Tribolium castaneum: one gene and its partner. Each later gene encodes a partner of the first gene's protein in a complex. Links are inferred from orthologs where the notes say so. Each region holds a gene or a part of one and is shown in the gene's direction. Other genes may lie near its edges.

Region 1 (4,423 bases):
TCGCGCAATGCTCAAATAAAACACTTTCTGATTATGCGCCGACATAACCCCACTTTTACAAAATCAAAAATAATACTAAAATCAACCTCTAGTCATACAATACTGCAAAAACTGGTCACTTTGTACCTAATCTGTGCTTAAAAATAATAATTGTTACACTTTTGTGTCATTTCCTAACCTCAAATCCGTTCCCGACTTTTCAAAAAATACTCAGGCCAGGCAAAATTCCAAATGATTGCGATTGCCATCAGGAGACAATACGTGACGATAGAGAGCCACCAAATGACCCGTTCGACCGTTGTCACTTCTAGGTTTCTTAGGACGTTGAGCCCCACCAAGAGCCCGGCAATAGCCCCCGCAAAGTGGGCCATGTACCCGATATGTTCGTCCATTTCGAGGAAATACCGATTGTAAATGGCGGTCCCAATGTCGGAGGCCATAATGATCAAAAAAATAAATAACTGGACGATGGGGAACGACATTTCCCTCCAATTCATTATAATGGTGGCTATATGTGCCGTGATGAGGGAGTAGACCCCACCGCTGGCCCCCGCAAGTCTCACGGTGGGGTCGGCGATTGAGGTAGCAAGCGACCCGGCGAGGACCCCCGCGAAATAAATGAGGAGCACTCGCCACCACCGGTGCACCATTTCTAGCGGAGTCCCCAGTAGAATTTGCACCAAAAGATTGACAAACAAATGGAAGGCTCTGCAATTAATTGGGTGGCTAACGTCGGTCAATTGTTGATTAATTACCCAACGTGCACAAACATGTAAGTGATGAACCGCCAAGCCTCCTGTCTCTTGTAGGGGTCGTAGATGAAGACGGAACTGATGGGGCCCGAGGCCGATTTGGTCGAATCCGCCTCGATTGCCTCATCCACACAGAAAAAAATGACCTCGATTAGCGAAATAATGATCATGCCCACGGCCGGGGGGTAGCAGGAGTACTGGTCGTCGTAGGCCCCGTCCACCTCGCTGGCGCCCCGTCGGCGGGGCACCACCATCTGGATGTACCTGTTGACATAGTGCCCGAAAACGTACTGGAGGTCCGGGTGGTTTATCATGTCCACGAATTCGGTGAAATCGATTCGGTCGTCGTGGTTCTGATCGGCCATTTGGTGGATTTTCCGCACGACGTGCTCGGGGATGTCGTGGTCATATTCCCGGCTCTCGATCAGGTCATTCAGCTCCCCGATGTTGATAAAACCGTCATGGTCCCGGTCGTACTGAAAGCGCAGTTTGGGTGATTGCTACTAAACTGGGGGGCTCACTTTGTCGAAAATGCTGCGGTAGTAGGCGTTTTTGCGGCTGGCTTGGAGCGGCGTCTCCGAGTTGGCCATGGCCACATAACCTCAATTGGCGCACACACACAATCACTGTTTACGTTACTAACACTCGTGTTACTACATGTTATCACTTATTATTATTATCACTTTTGTTTTGTTAATTATCATTACACGGTTATGTTTTGGTAACTTTGGGCCCAACTGGGGGAATTCCGCGCCTGGCAGGTTTGAAAAATGGCGCGCGGCTAACGTCATTGTTGTGATTCACGTGTAAAACACTTAAAATGAGTCAGGAGGAGACTTTGGTCAAATACACGGCAATTTACAGGTGCTCGGATGACATCACCAACTTGAAAATAAGGTAAGTAAAGACACTACGTACACAATTAAAGTTCAAGGTTCAAGAGTGAAGTTGCGCCAAGTGGGGGATTTAACTGGCGAGGATTCGGACGGTTGGGAGCAGAAAGACTTCGCCTGGCAACAGAAATGCTTCAGCAAGTCAGAAAGGGAGTACTACAAGGACGAAAAAAACTGTATCACAGATCTGGAGAAAAAGTACCATTCGGACGTCGGGGAATCACACACTGAGGCGCATTTTGACCTGTTTTCGTACACCAATGACGACGATTTTGCCCTCAAACAGGAAGTTAATGACAATTTCCGCGAAAATTGCGACGAAAATGGCCAGGGGTACGACTACGGCCAGTCACTTGTGGCAGCAGTGCGAAATCCCATTGGTCATAATTACGAGTTTGAGGTCATGTACATCATGGCGGACCTCGGGTAATTCCCCCGAAACGTCCGAGTGACTATAAAGCGATTTGTTCGTAGCGAATACATCGATTCGACTTGGCTCAAGCAGGAACAAGTCCTGTGTGTCGTTAAATACGACCGGAAGTACAAAATATTATCAATTAACCCCGACTTTACCAAATCCCAGCCGTATTTAATCCGACTTGAAGGCGCCACAATTCGCAAATATCACTATTTCCTTGAGAACGTTTCGGCCCAAATGCCTGAGGAAGCCCACCGTCGCGAAAAAGAATTAATCCGAAAAGTGTGTGTTGTATTATCCCCGAATTTATCTTATTTAAAGAATTTGCAGATAAATGGCCACAAAACCGAGCTTTTGAAATGTTTGAGTTTCAAACTTCCCGCCAAAAACAAACTGGCCGTTCATTTGTTCATGGAACTCGCGTGGGCGCAATATTTCGAGTATGGACCAATCTACGTCCAGTATTTCATCGACTTGCCGTCGGATTGGTCCCCGACTGACCAATCGCAACTGCAGGGCGTGACGCAAACGTGTCACGTGACTGGCGATGAGGGTTTGGCCCATTTCGGGCACGTTTTCGACGTTACGTTAGAGTACAATATCGAGGATTTGGGCAAAAGGGGAATCCCCAAGTGCCCTTATATCTACTTTGAGGTTATTTCGAAGGACACTTGGAGTCGGTATAGGACTGAAGGGCTGACTTATAAGGCCTTGCCCGTTGCCAAGCCGGGGAATTACCGGTTTAACCTACAATGTTTCCGGTTAATCCCCGACCGGATTTCCGGTCAGTTACGCCGGTTTTTTATTGGCGATTGTTCAAGCTATGGTGACTTGACTTGGGTGGGATTACCGAAACATTACGATGTGAGTTGACTAAATGAAAGGTTACTAAGGCTTAAAGCGGGCTTAAGCCGACACCGAGTGTTGCTCATTTAGGTTAGGTTTAACTAAACCTCGGCTTATTGCTAATATTTTTAATAAATTATTATTGTAGATAACATTATAATTTTGTTGAAATTGGTCAATTTTGTTCAATAGTATAAACTAACACTAGAAAGCAAAAAGTTACTTGCTTGCATTGGATGAAAAAAAAAACAGCAAAAAAAGTATAATGATAATAATTCACTTATTCTTATTCCATCAATATATTTTATCAGTATTTTTTTTATTGTAGGACAAATTTTTAAACATGAAATAAATAAATGCCGCATTTTATTGATACATTTTTAAACATAAGATTTTTATTATAACGATATTATTGCTACAATGTACCGAAATATTGATAAATGGTGACATTAATGAATCTTAACCTAACTTTTTAAAATCAGAACTGTCATAAGTGCGCAAGCGTGCAGTACTACCAACCGCAAAGTTAAGTTCAGCGCGGCTTAGCTGAGCAACACTGCAGTTTAAGCTCAGCTTAAAATGGCGAGCTTATCTAAGGAAATTTTTTTTCCAGGGGTCTGTTTTAAATAAATATGGGACTAACACGGTTGGTACCGGTCTGATCAGCGTGACCGTTCACGTCGTCCATCAAAGCCAGGCGTTTCTGGACAAATACAGAGAAAATTCCGAGGAAAATTTGGAAATTTTCGAAAAATTGAACTCGTCAAGTTTGGTCAAAAGCGTGGAGCAAGTGCTCCAAGCGTTCAAAAGGGCCCGAAAAAACATGATTGCGGCCCGGAAATTTTTATAATTGTTGTTTTATTTTGAGAATCAATAAACGTGGCAACGCCGCACTAGGTATAAACCAAAATCGATATATCTGGGCGAGGGACGATCGGACCGGTTCGGGTCACATCGGGCGACTTCGGGCTGTCTTTATCCATGTTTTAGCCCCAAGTTTGGGCTTTGGCCCCATGGTGTGCCTGGAACTGGCTTCCAGTTCACCCCTCTGTCTTTTGGGATGCTCTGGGGGGCTCAAGTGCCGCTCGAGTCTTAGCGAGGTCCCCGTGGCACGGCCGCCCTGTTGCCACGCGTCCCCCGTTCATGAACCTGTCTCAAATTGTAACACAGTCGCCTATTTTGCAAGTCATTGACACGTCGCTCCTTCGGGGGTGCCATCGATAAAATCCATTCCTGTAATTTCTCTCGTCACGTGACTAATAATTTCAATTTTTAAACAATTCGTCTATTTGTGACCGGATCGATAAGGCGGCCATGGCAACTCTTTTTTCTTTTTGGTAGTTTTTGCAATTGTGTTGGTACTTCCCCAAGTCGGGATTGGGGCCAGGCGTACCAACGTGTACATTGTTGTTATTTTGGGCGAAAAACGAGTCAATTTAAGCCGTAATTTTTTCGTCGTCGTGTTGGCATATCCCCTTTAATATAACAGTCTAAAATCGCCCGTCTCTCTCGCA
Region 2 (3,491 bases), on another chromosome or scaffold:
AAAATAAAAAATTACCTGTCAGGTATTCAACTGTTAAAAGCCTGTGAATATCCAGTTAGTTGCACTTTACACCAATGAAATACGAATAATACTGATGTTTCTTAAGACGGGAGATTCTATTTATGCGTGACTGCATTAGCAAAACCCTCCCGGCAGAATATGTCAGATGAAAAGCAATAAACAATTATTTTGAAGAAAAAAAAACATTTTAAATTCAAATTTGTATGATTTAATTATTTTTTGGACGCTTTTAGAATAAGAAAAACGTTGTAATCTATACTCGAAAAGCTTAAAATAACTGTTTTGTAATAAATAATAATTATTAAAATTGACCTTTTCAATTGCTTTACTATACTCGTAGTTCAAATTTCATTTATTTTGTTATGGTTTCTTAGACAGATTTGAATCAATTTAACCATTATTAAGTATATAAAGGTTATCTTAATTTTTTTTAACGATAAAAATATGTTTTAAGTCACATCAGAGCAACTGTTGTATTCAACTAATTAGAAGTTCTAAGAATTATAAAAATTTTGATAAATTGTATTAGTCTGCGCTAATTAAATGTCGTAACTAATTCCACTATAATTTTAATAAATTAAACTAGATATAGTATTTATTAATCATGTAGTATTAAATTATTGCCATCTTTTTTTATTTAAATACATTTCCAAATAAAGAATATAAATTGTTAAAGTATTTTATAAATGGTGAAAAATTGTGACCTAGTTTTACGATTAATATCTACCGAATAATTAATTTTCTTGGAAAACCAAGTATTACACATTTTTTCTTCTTCAAGTGTATTTAACTGGAAAAACCAAATAACGCAAGAATTAAGTATGTCATTGCCAATATATAGATATCGTTACTCATCAAGTCATCATTCATCAACCACCAATTTGCCCGGTATCTTTTGATGAAATCTGAAGAATTAAATTAAAAAATAGTAGAAGAAAATGTTTTCTCGAGCAAATTTGCGGATTTTTGAACTAAAAATATTTGCGTTTTACGTGAATTATTGCAATTATATAGTTTGTAATGTTGGTTTAGTTAAAAAATTTGTGTTAAAATATCTGCAAAACACGGTCAGTACCTGGGGCCTCGTGGCCCAGTGGTATAAGCACCACTTACAACGGGGGAGGTCGGGGGTTCGAACCCGGATCAGGTGTAACAATTTTTCTATGAAAAAAAGTGTAGAAAAGGTAAGGAAACAACACGTAAACAAAAATAAGAGATTGAGAGAACACATAGGCGTATAAAAGTAAAGCGGAGCTTAAAACTGAGAGAAATAAAAAAATAATGCGGCAAAAATGTAAAAGAACGTAAAGGCGCCAAATTGTAAACGTACTTTTTGTTTTGAGAGAAAAAGAAATGAACGTAAAGGTTACTTTTATTTGTTTATAACATAAACTGCAGAGGAAATCGATGTACAAAATTAAGGAAATTACACGTTTTAAAGAAAACAGAGAAAATTAAACAAAATCAGGATTTTTTTAATATTCTCATAATGGCCGTTTTTTTTGTTTCCGTTACCTTTTTTGGCAGTTCGGTCATTGCCCTAGCATTTTCAAATTACCCACACAGTCGTCGTCATGACAACCTAATTGTTTGTATTCAAAGTTGACAGGTAAACAAATAAAAAATTCGACCAAAAACCACAAGACGTAATTTTTGTGATGTTAATGATGGTAGTTTTAGAAGTTTTTACAAAGAATATAAAAATTTCTTATAAAAGTACTCTTCTATCAAAAGCATCGGTGCTAGCCCTAATTTTTGGGGTCTTATCGCTTGTGTTACCATTTATTTTTGCATACAAAAGCAAGGGTAAGAAATTAATTTTAATAAATTAGATAGTTCTGATAGCAAATTTTCAGGCTTGTGGTTAAAAAGAGACACTTTTTATGAACAACCGGATGTAAAATTTCGAGGAGAATACATTTTTGTTGCTACTACGAATAATTACAATAAGTCTGTTATAACGTGTAGTAATTTACCCCACTTTGATAATGTATTGCGGCCTTTAGATACTTGTTCAGTCATCAAGGTTTTTTTTTTCAGTTTTGTAACTATTAATTTACATATTGTGCCTTTTAGGTTCGTGAAACTGACAGAAATTTTGATGGTAAAACAGAAGAATTAGATTTGTCTCTCCAAGTTAATCTTCCAGTTAATACTCACCTCACGTCTTTTTGCATAATCATTCCATTTAATTATAAATTACAAGTAAGAAATTCGAATGTGTTCTTTTTTCTATATTTCTGTTTTTTTCCAATAGGTTTGTCCTCTTGAAATGCAGACTGCCATTATTTTTCAAGAATTGTTACCATTTTATATATCGAAGTATTCATTGGTGGCTAATGTGGTTGTGACCCAAACTAGCCCCTTAATTTGCCACAGAAAAAACACCAATACGTTATTTAATTATCCTGTGATTGTGGATAATGGGGATTTAAATAACTATGACATAAATACCATTATCACAAACTTTTCAAAGAGAAACAGTATAAGTTAAAGAATCTACAAAGCAATAACTAACATATTTTTTCAGTATCCACATCATTGAGAGACGTCTATAAAAGTTTTTCTCCTGGAAAAACTCAAAATTTCGTATTAAACTTAAATATAGAATTTCCAGAAGACAGGATATACTACAAGCCGGGCTTTTGGCAAGTACTGAAGTGGGCCTGGATCCAGTACCTCTCACTTTACATAATAATCTCATGGATAATTGCAAAAATAAAGCACTATATTTTTAGCAGGAGATTAATACTGTTTTTTGAAGAAAATCCGGTGAAGAAAAAACAATAAAAATTTAACAAACTTTATTATCATCGTTTTATTTACAACGTCAAGTCTAGTGGCTCTGAAGACGAACTAGAAGACGAAACTGCGTTCCTGTTGTCTTCCAGAACAATTGCTGTTTGTAGGAGATCGTCCACTTGAACCAGGGTGGTGAAACCTAAATGCACCAAGCCAAGTATAGGCGCCAAATTCAAAATCGACTGTAGTTCGGCTTGCTATCGCAGATGTCGCACACACGTATAGTCAATTTTAGCGAAGCTACCTATAATATCGGCAGAAATTAACAGTGGACCTGTGACAGTTGCCATTGTGTAAATCGCCATTTTGTGCTTGGTTTGTTTGGTGTTCGCCCTCGGCTTTGTTTTATGTGAAATTAGTACTGTTTTGTGGTTTTTTTCGTGTGTGTGCTTTTTTGAACTTTTTTATTGTGGGAATATAAATAATTTGATGGATCAATCATTAGTTTATAGTTATCGTATCGTGTATATTGACTAGTGATAATAAATTTTTATTACAAGTTTATTGTCTTTATTTATTCTCATATTTTATTTTTCGTATTCTTTGTAAATATTCAGCAACAATAGTTGTCTAACATCAGAAAGTGTTATTAGCAACTATTGTTGTGAATATTTACAAACAATACGAAAAATGCAATCAAACTTTAAAAGAAAAGTAACTACGGGCAA

Evidence for each region.
Region 2: Mks1 (region 1) and transmembrane protein 231 share a complex: the UniProt entries of both Homo sapiens proteins name them as parts of the tectonic-like complex. The link is inferred for Tribolium castaneum from reciprocal best matches to the Homo sapiens genes MKS1 and TMEM231.

What each region holds. Positions count from the first base shown.
Region 1 is NC_087401.1:10,812,950-10,817,372, forward strand, and holds Mks1 (tectonic-like complex member MKS1), read left to right. Parts: upstream 1-1,509; 5' UTR 1,510-1,572; coding exon 1,573-1,649; intron 1,650-1,693; coding exon 1,694-2,071; intron 2,072-2,119; coding exon 2,120-2,345; intron 2,346-2,393; coding exon 2,394-2,927; intron 2,928-3,522; coding exon 3,523-3,759; 3' UTR 3,760-3,802; downstream 3,803-4,423. Other genes in the region: rhomboid-related protein 2, read right to left, coding at 180-708, 756-1,228, 1,274-1,342. UniProt on the Homo sapiens protein: Component of the tectonic-like complex, a complex localized at the transition zone of primary cilia and acting as a barrier that prevents diffusion of transmembrane proteins between the cilia and plasma membranes.
Region 2 is NC_087398.1:6,906,654-6,910,144, reverse strand, and holds transmembrane protein 231, read left to right. Parts: upstream 1-1,596; 5' UTR 1,597-1,679; coding exon 1,680-1,827; intron 1,828-1,877; coding exon 1,878-2,047; intron 2,048-2,097; coding exon 2,098-2,226; intron 2,227-2,278; coding exon 2,279-2,504; intron 2,505-2,551; coding exon 2,552-2,811; 3' UTR 2,812-2,843; downstream 2,844-3,491. Other genes in the region: mitochondrial import inner membrane translocase subunit Tim21, read right to left, coding at 2,844-2,948. UniProt on the Homo sapiens protein: Transmembrane component of the tectonic-like complex, a complex localized at the transition zone of primary cilia and acting as a barrier that prevents diffusion of transmembrane proteins between the cilia and plasma membranes.